Cricetulus griseus: one gene and its partners. The protein of the gene in region 1 interacts with the protein of each later gene in a biochemical or structural test. Links are inferred from orthologs where the notes say so. Each region holds a gene or a part of one and is shown in the gene's direction. Other genes may lie near its edges. The genes, in order: Eid1, Fbxo21 and Nr0b2.

Region 1 (3,738 bases):
AGTTGGAAAATCCATCTTAATAGTACAAAAAGAAATATAGAAAGTATTTGGTTACATACAAACTAATTTTAAAAGCTTTATATATGACTCCTTAAAGCATACAGGCTTGAAGGATAAATTTGTAAAGTGAAAAATAGTGTCTTCACACATTTTCAAAGGATTCCTACAAATCAGCAAAACAAACATAAAGTAAGGCCTGTTAATGTGTTGAAAGAAAGCAAATGCCCCCTATACCTACTGAAAGATCATTGTCCTCTAATAAATTAAAGTTATGGAAAGGTTATAAAGATACAATCTTAGGGCTGGAGAGCTGGCTCAGCAGTAAACAGCATCAGCTGCTCACACTAAGGAGAGAGTTTGGGTCCTAGCACTTACAGGGCAGTGCAAAACTGTGACCTCATTTCCAGGAGATGAACATCCTCTTCTGGCCTCTGCAGGTGATGCACACACAAGGTGCATGGGCGTTACACAGAGGCAAAACACCCATACACATAAAAGAGAACAAGCTGATAAAACTGAAATTAATTTTATTAATTCAATAAAACAACAGGAGCCAAGGGTGTGAATATTCTCAAACACTGCAGGTTAAGTTTGTAGAGCAATTGTGAGCCTGATTACCCATGTTTATTTAAAATATGCATATCCTATGAGCCTAGAAAAGAACACTGTGGCTTCCATTTTCTCCATGGTGTACGTACACACACACACACACACACACACACACACACACACACACACACAATTTGTCCACGATTAGGTCAACGTCAGTATATTCAGGAAGAAAAAAAAATGGAAAGCTGAATTTTCGTGCCGCGCAAGCCGGCAGGCGAGGTGGATTTGAAATGATGAGCAGTAGTGGACGTCCTGGTCCCAAGGGATGCTGGGGAGGCAGGAGGTGGATGACTGACAAGGGATGCTGGGAAGGCAGGAGGTGGATGACTGACAAGGGATGCTGGGGAGGCAGGAGGTGGATGACTGATGGGATGCTGAGGAGGCAGGAGGTGGATGACTGATGGGATGCTGGGGAGGCAGGAGGTGGATGACTGCCAAGGGATGTTGGGGAGGCAGGGAGGTGGGGGAGAGGCGGCAGTCTGTCCCAGAAGCCCGGTGTTTTCCGGTGCAGGGACGTGACAAGTGTGACAGAGCAAGCAAACATCAAGGAACCTAGAGCGGGGTCTGCAGATGGAAGGTCCAGACCCAGCAGAAGCTTCTGGGAGTCCGGCCCAGCTGGAGGAGGGGGAGGTGGTGGTGGAAGGGGGGGGGCTAGAGCGGTCTAGAGCTCACGCACGCGCACCACGCCCACCTCGCGCCAGGCTGGCACGCGCACCCAGCCCGCCTACTCGCCTGCGCGCGTGTCCCGTGCCCCCCGCAAGTGCACCACGCATGCCCACTCGTCTGCGCACGCACGCACGCAGGCACGCACTCCCGCACGCGCGCCACGCCGACCCACTCGTCCGCGCGCGCACGCGCCCGCGCACCACACCCGTTCGCGCGTCCGTGTCGGTGGAAGCGTTTCGCCTGGCTGACTTAAGAGGCTTCCACCATGGCGGAGATGGCTGAGCTTTGCGAGCTGTACGAAGAAAGCAACGAGCTGATGGACGAGCTGCCCGGCGAGGGCGATATGGAGGTAGGCCGCGGGGCCCGCGGGCCCGCGGAGGAGGGCCCCATGGAGGAGGAGGCCGCGCCGTTAGCCGCCCGCGCCCAGCGCGGCCTGTTCCCCGAGGCTGGCGCAGATCTGGAGGGCGACGAGTTTGATGACTGGGAGGACGACTACGACTTCCCAGAAGAGGAGCGCTGGAGCGGCGCGATGCACAGGGTGTCTGCCGCGCTGGAGGAAGCCAACAAGGTGTTCCTGAGAACGGCGCGAGCCGGAGATGCCCTGGATGGCGGGTTTCAGGCGCGCTGCGAGAAGAGCCCTTTCGACCAGCTCGCCTTTATCGAAGAGCTGTTTTCGCTGATGGTTGTCAATCGACTGACCGAAGAGCTCGGTTGTGATGAGATCATTGATCGAGAGTAAATGCTGACGAAAGAGGAGGAAACTACCTGAGAGGGAGAGATTCAACATTCTGCTGTTTTTGGGTTCATTCCAACTAGTTTTGTGCAAAAAACAAAAAAAAAAAAAAAAAAAAAAAAAAGGTTTTTGTTTCCCGGAATAGAAGACAAAACAGTGAGTGACCGTGCAGTCTTGGAAAAGGAGAATCGAGGAAGGAGGGGCTCAGCAAAAAAAAAAAAAAAGCTCTGGTTCAGACTGTTGAACGAGATGATTTTTCCCTGCGTTGGAGAAGAACTTGGTCGTGTTAAGCTTGTAAAAATGGTTTTGCAAGAGAAAAATCGTGACTGCCAATACAAGAATCTAATTAGAGAATGAAGAAGAATACATCCACAAGATATCTTTGATTCGAACTGAGAGCCTGTTGAGAAAACTTTCCAAATTCTGTTTTGTGGTTTATATAAATCAGTTATCAAAAGCTAAATTTGAGATTTAAGATTGAGTATTCATCGACCCCCCCAAAGAAAAATCAAAGTGAATATGTGTGTATAAGTGTAGATGTGTGTTACCATGTGTACTATTATCTTAAAATGTGTTACAAAAGCTGGGATTTGACTGCACATGTATCTTCATGATTTATAAAGCTACTGTGATCTGTAATTTGGAAAAATCCCTTGTGATGATTTTTAAAGTTACATATTAAAAAAAAGCCAATCAGGATATCTTTTTAAAGTTTTAAGTTCATGCATTAAAATTTATGGGAAAGCCCAAAGACAAACTTTCTAATAAATACCCTTTTATACTAGGGAACTTTTACTCACTGTTTTTTACCTTGACAGATGGTAAGACTATAGCTGAACTTCATATTGTAAGAACTGTTTGTGAAAAATTGTCAAGTAAAAGGAAACCCTACCTGTACCTATAAAAGATTATATGAGCTATTATGCTGTCAAACTTTGGAGGTTTTAAATCTGCTCAGAAGTCCACCTGGATACCTGATACTCATATTCTCTCTCTCTCTCTCTCTCTCTCTCCTCTCTCTCTCTCTCTCTCTCTCTCTCTCTCTCCCTCTCCTCCTCTCTCCCCGTCCCTCCTTCTGATCATGCTTGTTAGTCCCTATGCACCAGCATTGGCGATAATAAATTTTCCTGTTCTGTGTATTTTGTTTTGTCTAATAGCTCTGCATAGATACTTTATTTAAGCAAGATTCTTTTATTATGTGGTATCACTGCATTCATCTTAAGATTTAAACAGCCAGTGCTTACAATGGTAAAATGAAACCATTTTCAATTAATTACCTGACCAATAGAATGAAAGAATTGGCCAGCCTACGGAAACCTGCCCTGCATATATGTTGCTGTGTGTTATTTGGTGAAGATGCTGAAGTTCCTTGAGTGGTAATTGCATCAAAGGCCATGCCAAGAAAAATTACTCATTAGCACATCTTTTATGATGAATTAAAAAGTCTGACTGTTCCTATGCCATGATGGGAATATAGGACAGTAGGATAACTCCTCGGGATTTTTTTGGCTGGGGGTGGGGTGGTGGTGGTGGTGGTTTATTTGTTTTATATTCATCTTGTTTGGGAGGCTGGGCAGGTGGGATGGCTCGGTGGGTAAAGGCAACTTCTGACATACACCCAAGCCTCATGACCAGAGTTTGATCTCAGGAGCCCATGTGGTGGAGGGAGAGAAATAACTCTCTCAAGGTATTAGATCCTCACCTGGGGTTCTAGTCAGTCCCTCCCG
Region 2 (3,646 bases), on another chromosome or scaffold:
AAAGGACAAATGCCATGATCATCCCCACTTTAGGAGTCCGCTCCTGGAAGTGGTATGTGAATGGGGACTGGATCCTGGTGGATTTTTGTTGGATCAAGCGTTGGGTATTTGGGTATTGGCGCTAACCAAGAAATGTTTGACCCATTACGACTCCTGGTCCACAAGTGGCATGCCGTCATTGGTCTTTGTCAGGGTACATGGGTAGGTGTCGATCCCACGCTTCGGAAAAGAAAAGGCCTGGCGAAAATATTATCTCCTAGTCTTTCTGTCTTGTCTTGAAGGTGCTTGATATCCTCCAGCACATCCAGACCCTTGACCCTGGGCAGCACGGGGCAGTGGGCTACCTAGTGCAGCACACACTAGAGCACATTGAGCGCAAGAAGGAGGAGGTAGGCGTGGAGGTGAAGCTGCGCTCTGAGGAGAAGCACAGAGATGTCTGCTACTCCATTGGACTCGTTATGAAGCACAAGAGGTGAGTACCTGCTCCTGGCCTCTGTGGCTGCCCACAGGCTGCCAGGGCCACAGCCACACTGAAGAGGGAAGAGGATCCCAGAGGCATACCCTGGTACCTCAGGTCATTTCACTGAGCACCCCCACAGGCCAGACAGCAGGCCCCTGCCTGCATCCAGCTTTTAACTGTGAGGTATAATGTCTTTCATGAACTCTGACTGCTCCTAGAGTTTGTATGGGGCTCTGGGGGTTGAGCCTAGGGATTGACCAAACTAGAAGCTCACTGAGCTATGGCCCCAGCTCCTCCTTCTGCTGTCCCTTCTCTGTCCCCTGCCATCTCTGATCTGGGTTAGCAGGGCTTTCCTGAGGTATAATTCTGCCCATGTCTGTTCACCAGGCAGAATTTAACTCCAGAGTGCTGGTGCAGGTTCATGTCCCACAAGCAACCTACAAACTGTGATTACTGTCCCCACAGCATGACCTTGGTGTGCTCATGTGACAGGAGCAGGTGACACTTGGTAGTGTTTTTCCCTCACTGGCAAAGGCAGTTCCATCTGGCCACACGGTCTTCCTTGTTGGCATGTGGCTACTTCCTACCCCTCCATTGTCTCTGAGACATTCATTTAGTGAATGCTTTCTTCTCAACTCCTTAAAGAAATTTCCAAACATGTAAGAGTGGAGAGAAGGGCACGTGAGGCAGCTTGTGCTCCTAGTGTACTGGCTGTAGCAGTGAACACCACAACCACCACTTCCCTCCTCAGTTCTGGACTAATGAAGTTAATGTTGCACACATTCACCCTACCCATTCAGTTGGAGGGAAGGGGGGGGGCTCCCCTGCTCACTCTTTTTTTTTTTTTAAGATTTTATTTATTTATTATGCATACAACATTCTGCTTCCATTTATATCTGCACACCAGAAGAGGGCACCAGATCTCATAACGGATGGTTGTGAGCCACCATGTGGTTGCTGGGAATTGAACTCAGGCCCTCTGGAAGAGCAATTGGTGCTCTTAACCTCTGAGCCATCTCTCCAGCCCCTCCCCTTCTCACTCTTATTATCCTCTTCTTACCAAAGGTAGTCTCTTGCTCTGTTCCAATGTTTTTCTTAAAGCTGGGTGGTGAAGGCGCACGCCTTTAATCCCAGCACTGGGGAGGCAGAGGCAAGAGGTTGGAGGCCAGCCTGGTTTACATAATTCCAGGACAGCCAGGGCTATGCAGTAAGAACCTGTCTAGAAAAAAAAAAAAAAAAAAAAAAAAAAAAAAAAGATTATTTTCCAGATACAATGCTTTGTTGATGGTGAGAGTAGGATTTGTAAAGAGGGACAGGATTTCTTAAAAGTGACTCCACATGGGGTAAGAGCAGTAGGTAATGAACAAAGGGCATGGAAGAACCCCAGCCTGCCTCTCCTGACTCCTCCGCAGCTCTGAGGCTCCCCAGGAGCTCACTTGCCATCTTCCCGTGCTCCACAGGTATGGATACAACTGTGTGATCTATGGCTGGGACCCCACCTGCATGATGGGCCATGAGTGGATCCGCAACATGAATGTTCACAGTCTGCCTCATGGCCACCATCAGCCCTTCTACAACGTGCTGGTGGAGGATGGCTCCTGTAGATATGCAGCCCAAGGTAAGGTGTTTGTTTGCTGTATCTCCACCCATCCCTGGCTGACCATGCTATAGGGAGAGCTCACCAGTGTATACAGGGTAGCAACTGTCCATAGCTAGTCACACACAGGCACACCAACACGAGGTCCTTGTTCTAGCACTGCTTACTGTCCTCACTAGCCAGACACCTGACTTCCCTGTCGCCCTCATGTGGCCACAGGTGAAAACTGCAGTCCCCTGTACAAACTCTGTGCTTGGTGACCTTTGGTAGGCCATGGCCACCTGACTGGCCAGCGCTGGGAACAGATGGAATTGAAGAGTCAGAGCAATGACTGTAGTGTGAGCCTTTGTCTGTGTCCCTTTTGACTTTCATACACCTGAAAGCAAGGAGCACACTGGTTTATTAATAAGAGAAGGTGTGGATACTGATGCGATGAACAGTGTGCCCTCATGGGTGCTAAGTCTGTTTGAGACCCAGGCGTTTCATACATGCAGAGCCTTGAGCTTGTACAGGCCACCTCCACTTTACCTTGACCATGAGGACATGAAGCCAGGAGTCTGGTGATGGGCTATGGCCTGAACCAACAGACCTGTTCTGCCCATACAGGGGTAAAAATACTGAGGTCTGGAGTGTCACGGTTTCAGATAACAGGAACAGTCCTCACATGAGTGATTGTGACCCATTGGAGGCCAGGAGGATCCATCCAATATGTCTGTAGGTGCCTCACCTCCTCCATGGGTTCCTGGGGTAAGGTAAAGGGGCCACATGTTCCCAGAGTGTTCTGGAGGCTCCCACAGGCCAGTCTTCGGCTTTTGAAGCTAACTCCAGTGAAAATCAAAGCTCTCCATTTCTGAAAGTCACCGTGATTTAAAAACGGCCTGGGGCTTTGCTCTATGACAGGTGAGGAAGGCTTTCTGTCATCAGTCATGACTCCTGGCTGTGGCGTCCTGGGTGTAGCAGTTGTCCACCCTACTCAGAGTGGGTGTAAACATCTTCAAATCAGATATTGAGGTTTATAGAAATAGTTCGTATACTGTGTTTGCTTGATGCAATCTGTAAAGTGAGCACTCAGCTTTAGTTGTTCTGAATGGTTCCTGCTGATGCCTCAGTGCACCTCACTGTGTGTGTGCACACACATGGGATAGTAGTTTGCAGTCACAGTGTAAGAAGAAACAAAAGTCTGCAGTCCAATGACTGGGTGGCATAGGAGTGGCTGTGATTATGTTAGCTTTGGCTGGTTTCCCTTGAGAGGCCCTTCTGTTGGCCACAGGACTATGGCTTCTCCTGAGGGCTGCTGTGTGATGGCTGTGGGGTGCAAGGGTGGCAAGGAACTCCTTCACAGCCACACATAGGTATTCACATACCTCCCTGGGCCAGATCCTGTTTCTAGTGACCTCGTGAACCCTTTTATTTGTGTGCTGGACTTCCAGCCTGGGCTCTCTGCTCTGTGATCTTGGGGTAGCTCCTACACATTCTTCTCCTGAACTGCTGCTCCACCCTGCCTGCTCCTGCAGATACACTCCACATGCTGTCCATTCGCCAACAGTGGGTTCTCACCTAGGTCTGTTTCATCAGTGAATAGGAAGGCC
Region 3 (4,338 bases), on another chromosome or scaffold:
CACTCGAGGACCACCTCACTGGGTTCTGTCAGTCCATCTGTGTTTGCTTTTTCACTGTTACCGTTCCTTGCCATACAGATTGTTTATTCTTTTCCTAAGGAGGCCTGGGCTGAGGTAGACAGCACTACAGTGAAAGCAGTGTGGCTGCCTGTCTAAAGGATAGAGTGGGGGCAGCTTCTTGGCCTACACAGAACCTTGCTCTGTCAAGTCCCAATACCACAGGAGCCCTGATTGTCTCCACCAAGGCTCACAGAACCCTGGAGAGCAGCTGACTGGGAATCATGGAGCCAAGACCAGATGCCAGGGCTCCTCATCCGGAGCACCAGGTTGCCCAAGAGTGTGGCGACAACAAACCTGCTAGGCAAGGCTAGCCAAAGGTCAGGAACCTGACACAGCCAAGGACCTCCCATTTCCCTCATACCTCGCCTCTAACCACTGAAGACAAATATCCAGGGCAGAGAAGCGGCGTGTTAGCAGAGATGTTTCCAGTCGCACCATAGGTGGGCCACACCTGCAGACCAGGCAGGGGCTGGGGGCTGGGAGTGGGGGTAGCTGCTAGCCACCTGTGCTGGGAAATTCACACTTCAGCTGCACAGTTGATTGGGGGGGGGGGAGGGGCAAACAAGGATGACTTCGAGGTCAGACATATCTGTGCTCTGTCCCTTCTGGTTGGAGTGACTTTGAGCAGGTCACTTCTCTGGGAAGTTCTCAACATTACAAGGGAAAGTGATCCATATAGAGTGGGTCCTCAGTAACTGGCAGCCTTGTAAGTAACAATTTTGCAAGGGCCAGCAGGCCCAGCCCCTCTGGAGCTATTGGAGCACAGAATGGGAGCAGGGGGCTCTGGAATGGCCTTCCTCCAACGGGGCCTCTGCACTGGAGTCACAGGAGGGGGTACCTCCTAGACTGTACAATGAGCAAAGTCCCCCAGGGACCTGGCTCCCTTCCCTGCAGCCTGTTCCTTACCGACAACAGGAGCAGAGCCCCAAGGTTAGGCAAACACAGCAGCGATAAGGCACTTCCAGGCTGGGTCAGGCATTCAAGGCCTTAGCTGGCTTTCTCTGGCTGGCTCCTTGGCTCAGTGAGAACCCTGGTCTTGTGTGCATGAAAGTGGGCTCCAATCGAAACAGCAGCAGTCACAGCCACTGGCTGGTTGAGCACCTGAGACCTTGGTGCCCTGGTACAGCCTGGGTTAATGACCTTGTTTATACACTGAGTCATCCGATAAAGGGCATCCAGGCAGTGGGCAGGTGGCCCTGTGCCCTGCAATGGCCACTTCATTGACTAAAGCGATAGCAACGCCACGTGGAGCTCCAGTGCCCCTCCCCCTCCGGTCCTGCCAGGGTCAGTGTATGTGTGCATTGTGTGTGTATGTTGGCTTTTTTTTTTTTTTCAATGAACATGACTTCTGGAGTCAAGGTTCCACGGCCATTCCCCCTCCCGCCATCGAGGATATAAATAGCACTCACAGTACAGAGGACCGATAGCTGGGAAGAAACAGGAGCGAGATACCAACCATGAACTCCAGCCAGTCTGGGGGCTGCCCCTGCCAGGGCTCTGCAGGCCGCCCTGCTATTCTGTACGCGCTTCTAAGCCCCAGCCTCAGGGCCAGGCCCATTGCACCCGCATCTCGCAGCCACTGCCTCTGCCAGCAGCACCGGCCTGTCCGTCTGAGTGCTCCACAGCGCACCTGCCGGGAGGCCTTGGATGTCCTAGCCAAGACAGTAGCGTTCCTCAGGAACCTGCCGTCCTTCTGCCACCTGCCCCATGAGGATCAGCGACGGCTGCTGGGGGTCTGCTGGGGCCCTCTCTTCCTGCTTGGGCTGGCCCAAGATACTGTGACCTTTGAGATAGCTGAGGCTCCAGTGCCCAGTATACTTAAAAAAATCCTTCTGGAGGAACCCAGCAGTGGTACGCAGGGTACCCAGCTACCCGACCGGCCACAGCCCTCACTGGCTGCCGTGCAGTGGCTCCAGCGTTGTCTGGAGTCTTTCTGGAGCCTTGAGCTGGGTCCCAAGGAGTATGCCTACTTGAAAGGAACCATCCTCTTCAACCCAGGTGAGCTCCCAGACACTCCTGGATGGGGGCCACGCTGGGAGGGGACAGGACCCGTCCAGGAAAAGAATCGTTGTCTCTTTGCGTCCTTGTTAGCTCCAAACAGGTATCTCCCAGGAGAGACAGGGAGGTTAAGCAACTACCTGAAGGCCACACAGTAAGGCAGAGGCAGAACAGGCCTGGGAATGCAAGTCAAGCTAATGCAGAGATTGGTCTTTGCCGCTGTGCTGGAAGGGTAGAGTGGGTAAGGCAGACACCGCCGTGTGCAGTGTCTGCCTTCTTCAAGGGCAGGCTGCACAGTGAAGTTCTGAAGGTTAAAGTCCTCCGTGGGTTCAGAGCGGCCACACAGAAAGAATGGAAGGGTGGGGAGTGGTCACTTCTTGGGTGGAGAGCAGATGGGGTGGGGTGAGGGGCGATGAGGAGAAATGAGGCGGTTTTACCACGGAACCCTGGCTGGCCTAGAACTCACTACGTAAAGCAAGTTGACCTCAAACTAACACCATGCCTGGCATGGGAAAATATTCTTTGTAACTTTGAGGAAGACAAGAGACAGGCCTTGGAAGTTAAAGTGTAACGCCAAACGGCAGTAACAGTACCAAAGAATCACATGCATTTCCCATATGTCAGGACTTAGCCTAAGGGTTTTACAAATAGTGATTTGGTTAAACCTCACAGCAGTAGTGGGCAACAAGTATTGTCATTGTTCCCACTAGATAGATGAAGAAACTAAGGCACAGAGATTTAAACTACTCATCTAAGGTCACTCAGAAAGATGAAACTACTTGTCCAAGATCACTGAGCTCACAGTGGCAGTGCTGGGATTCAAATTCAGCCAGCCTCGAACTCACAGAGATCCGCCTGCCTCTGCCTCCCGAGTGCTGGGATTAAAGGCCTGCCACGAACAACCGGCCTCTGGTTCTTTTTTGGTTTTGGCTTTTTGTTTTGTTTTTTGAAACAGAGTTTCTCTATGTAACAGCTCTGACTGTCCTGGAAGTAGCTCTGTAGACCAGGCTGGTCTTGAATTCACAGAGATCTAACCGCCTCTGCCTCCCAAGTACAGGGATTAAAAGTGTGTCACCACCTCGAAAATCTGTCTCAAAAAACAAAATAAGAAAAGAATTATTTAGATATTATTTTATGTGTGTAAGTTTCTACCTGTATGTATGTGTATCATCTGGTGGGAGCTCACAGAAGCCGGAAGAGGGTGTCAGGAATTGGAATTATAGGCAGTTGTGAGCCACAATGTAGGTGGGAACCGGACTCAGGTCCTCAGTCATAGCAGGAAGTGCCCTTAACCACAGAGCCATCTCTCTAACTCGTATGTCTCAGCCCTTATCTCCACATAAATGGAATAAAATGTAGGAGATGGTGATTGAAACCTCCAAGGTGGCAGAGTGGGCCAATGCGTGGAACTCATTAGTAAAGTATTACCTCCCGAGCTACAGGTCCTGGGTTTGTTGCCTAACACCACCAAACAATTAGGTCTCTTCTGTATCTGTAAGGGCTGGGAATGTAGTTCAGTGGTACAACTATCGCCTGGCATGTTAAAGGAACCAGCAATGTTCAGCCCAAATGTAGAATGCCTGCCAAGCATGCCCTAGTATGCACGAGGCCCTGCATTGCACCCCGGCATATGAGGGGGGGAGCCACTAACATTCTCACACCCTGGGCTAGCCTCCACGGAGCAGCTGCTCACCAGCCCTCTTCACCCTCTCTGCCACAGATGTGCCAGGCCTCCATGCCTCTTGCCACATCTCCCACCTGCAGCAGGAGGCTCACTGGGCCTTGTGTGAAGTCCTGGAGCCCTGGTACCCTGCTAGCCAAGGCCGCCTGGCCCGAATCCTCCTCATGGCCTCTACTCTCAAGAACATTTCATGCAGCCTTCTGGTGGATCTCTTCTTCCGCCCTATCATCGGAGATGTTGACATCGCTGAACTGCTGGAAGACATGCTTTGGCTGAGGTGACCTGCAGAGTGGAATCCAGGGCTTCCAAAGGGGAGCTTCAACTCCCCAGGAGCAGCCCTCACCTCAGCCATGCCCCCAGCTTGGACTTCCTTGGTTTGGACACAGTATACTAACTGCCTAATAGGTCCTTGGTGGCCCCCCAAAGTCTTTGGGCCAGGGACAGAGATGGGAGCATGAATGAGGCTGTACTTCAGGCCAGAATTCCTCCTGACTTTGTATAGAACTCAATTAAGTTATTGATTTTTGTAATAAAAGGTATGACCTGCTGACACCACGGTTGCCTATGGAAGGGGCAAGCCGTTCTTCAGGGTGCATGCT

The links.
Region 2: of the proteins of Eid1 (region 1) and Fbxo21, one has a biochemical effect on the other in vitro, tested with the Homo sapiens proteins (2 studies listed by BioGRID, with this or other methods). The link is inferred for Cricetulus griseus from reciprocal best matches to the Homo sapiens genes EID1 and FBXO21.
Region 3: the proteins of Eid1 (region 1) and Nr0b2 form a complex in vitro, tested with the Homo sapiens proteins (3 studies listed by BioGRID). The link is inferred for Cricetulus griseus from reciprocal best matches to the Homo sapiens genes EID1 and NR0B2.

The regions. Positions count from the first base shown.
Region 1 is NC_048599.1:52,887,949-52,891,686, reverse strand, and holds Eid1 (EP300-interacting inhibitor of differentiation 1), read left to right. Parts: upstream 1-1,324; 5' UTR 1,325-1,543; coding exon 1,544-2,017; 3' UTR 2,018-3,150; downstream 3,151-3,738. UniProt on the Homo sapiens protein: Interacts with RB1 and EP300 and acts as a repressor of MYOD1 transactivation. Inhibits EP300 and CBP histone acetyltransferase activity.
Region 2 is NC_048597.1:97,899,562-97,903,207, forward strand, and holds part of Fbxo21 (F-box only protein 21), read left to right. Parts: intron 1-260; coding exon 261-472; intron 473-1,920; coding exon 1,921-2,078; intron 2,079-3,646. UniProt on the Homo sapiens protein: Substrate-recognition component of the SCF (SKP1-CUL1-F-box protein)-type E3 ubiquitin ligase complex.
Region 3 is NC_048595.1:19,710,440-19,714,777, reverse strand, and holds Nr0b2 (nuclear receptor subfamily 0 group B member 2), read left to right. Parts: upstream 1-1,517; coding exon 1,518-2,058; intron 2,059-3,778; coding exon 3,779-4,020; 3' UTR 4,021-4,282; downstream 4,283-4,338. UniProt on the Homo sapiens protein: Transcriptional regulator that acts as a negative regulator of receptor-dependent signaling pathways. Specifically inhibits transactivation of the nuclear receptor with which it interacts.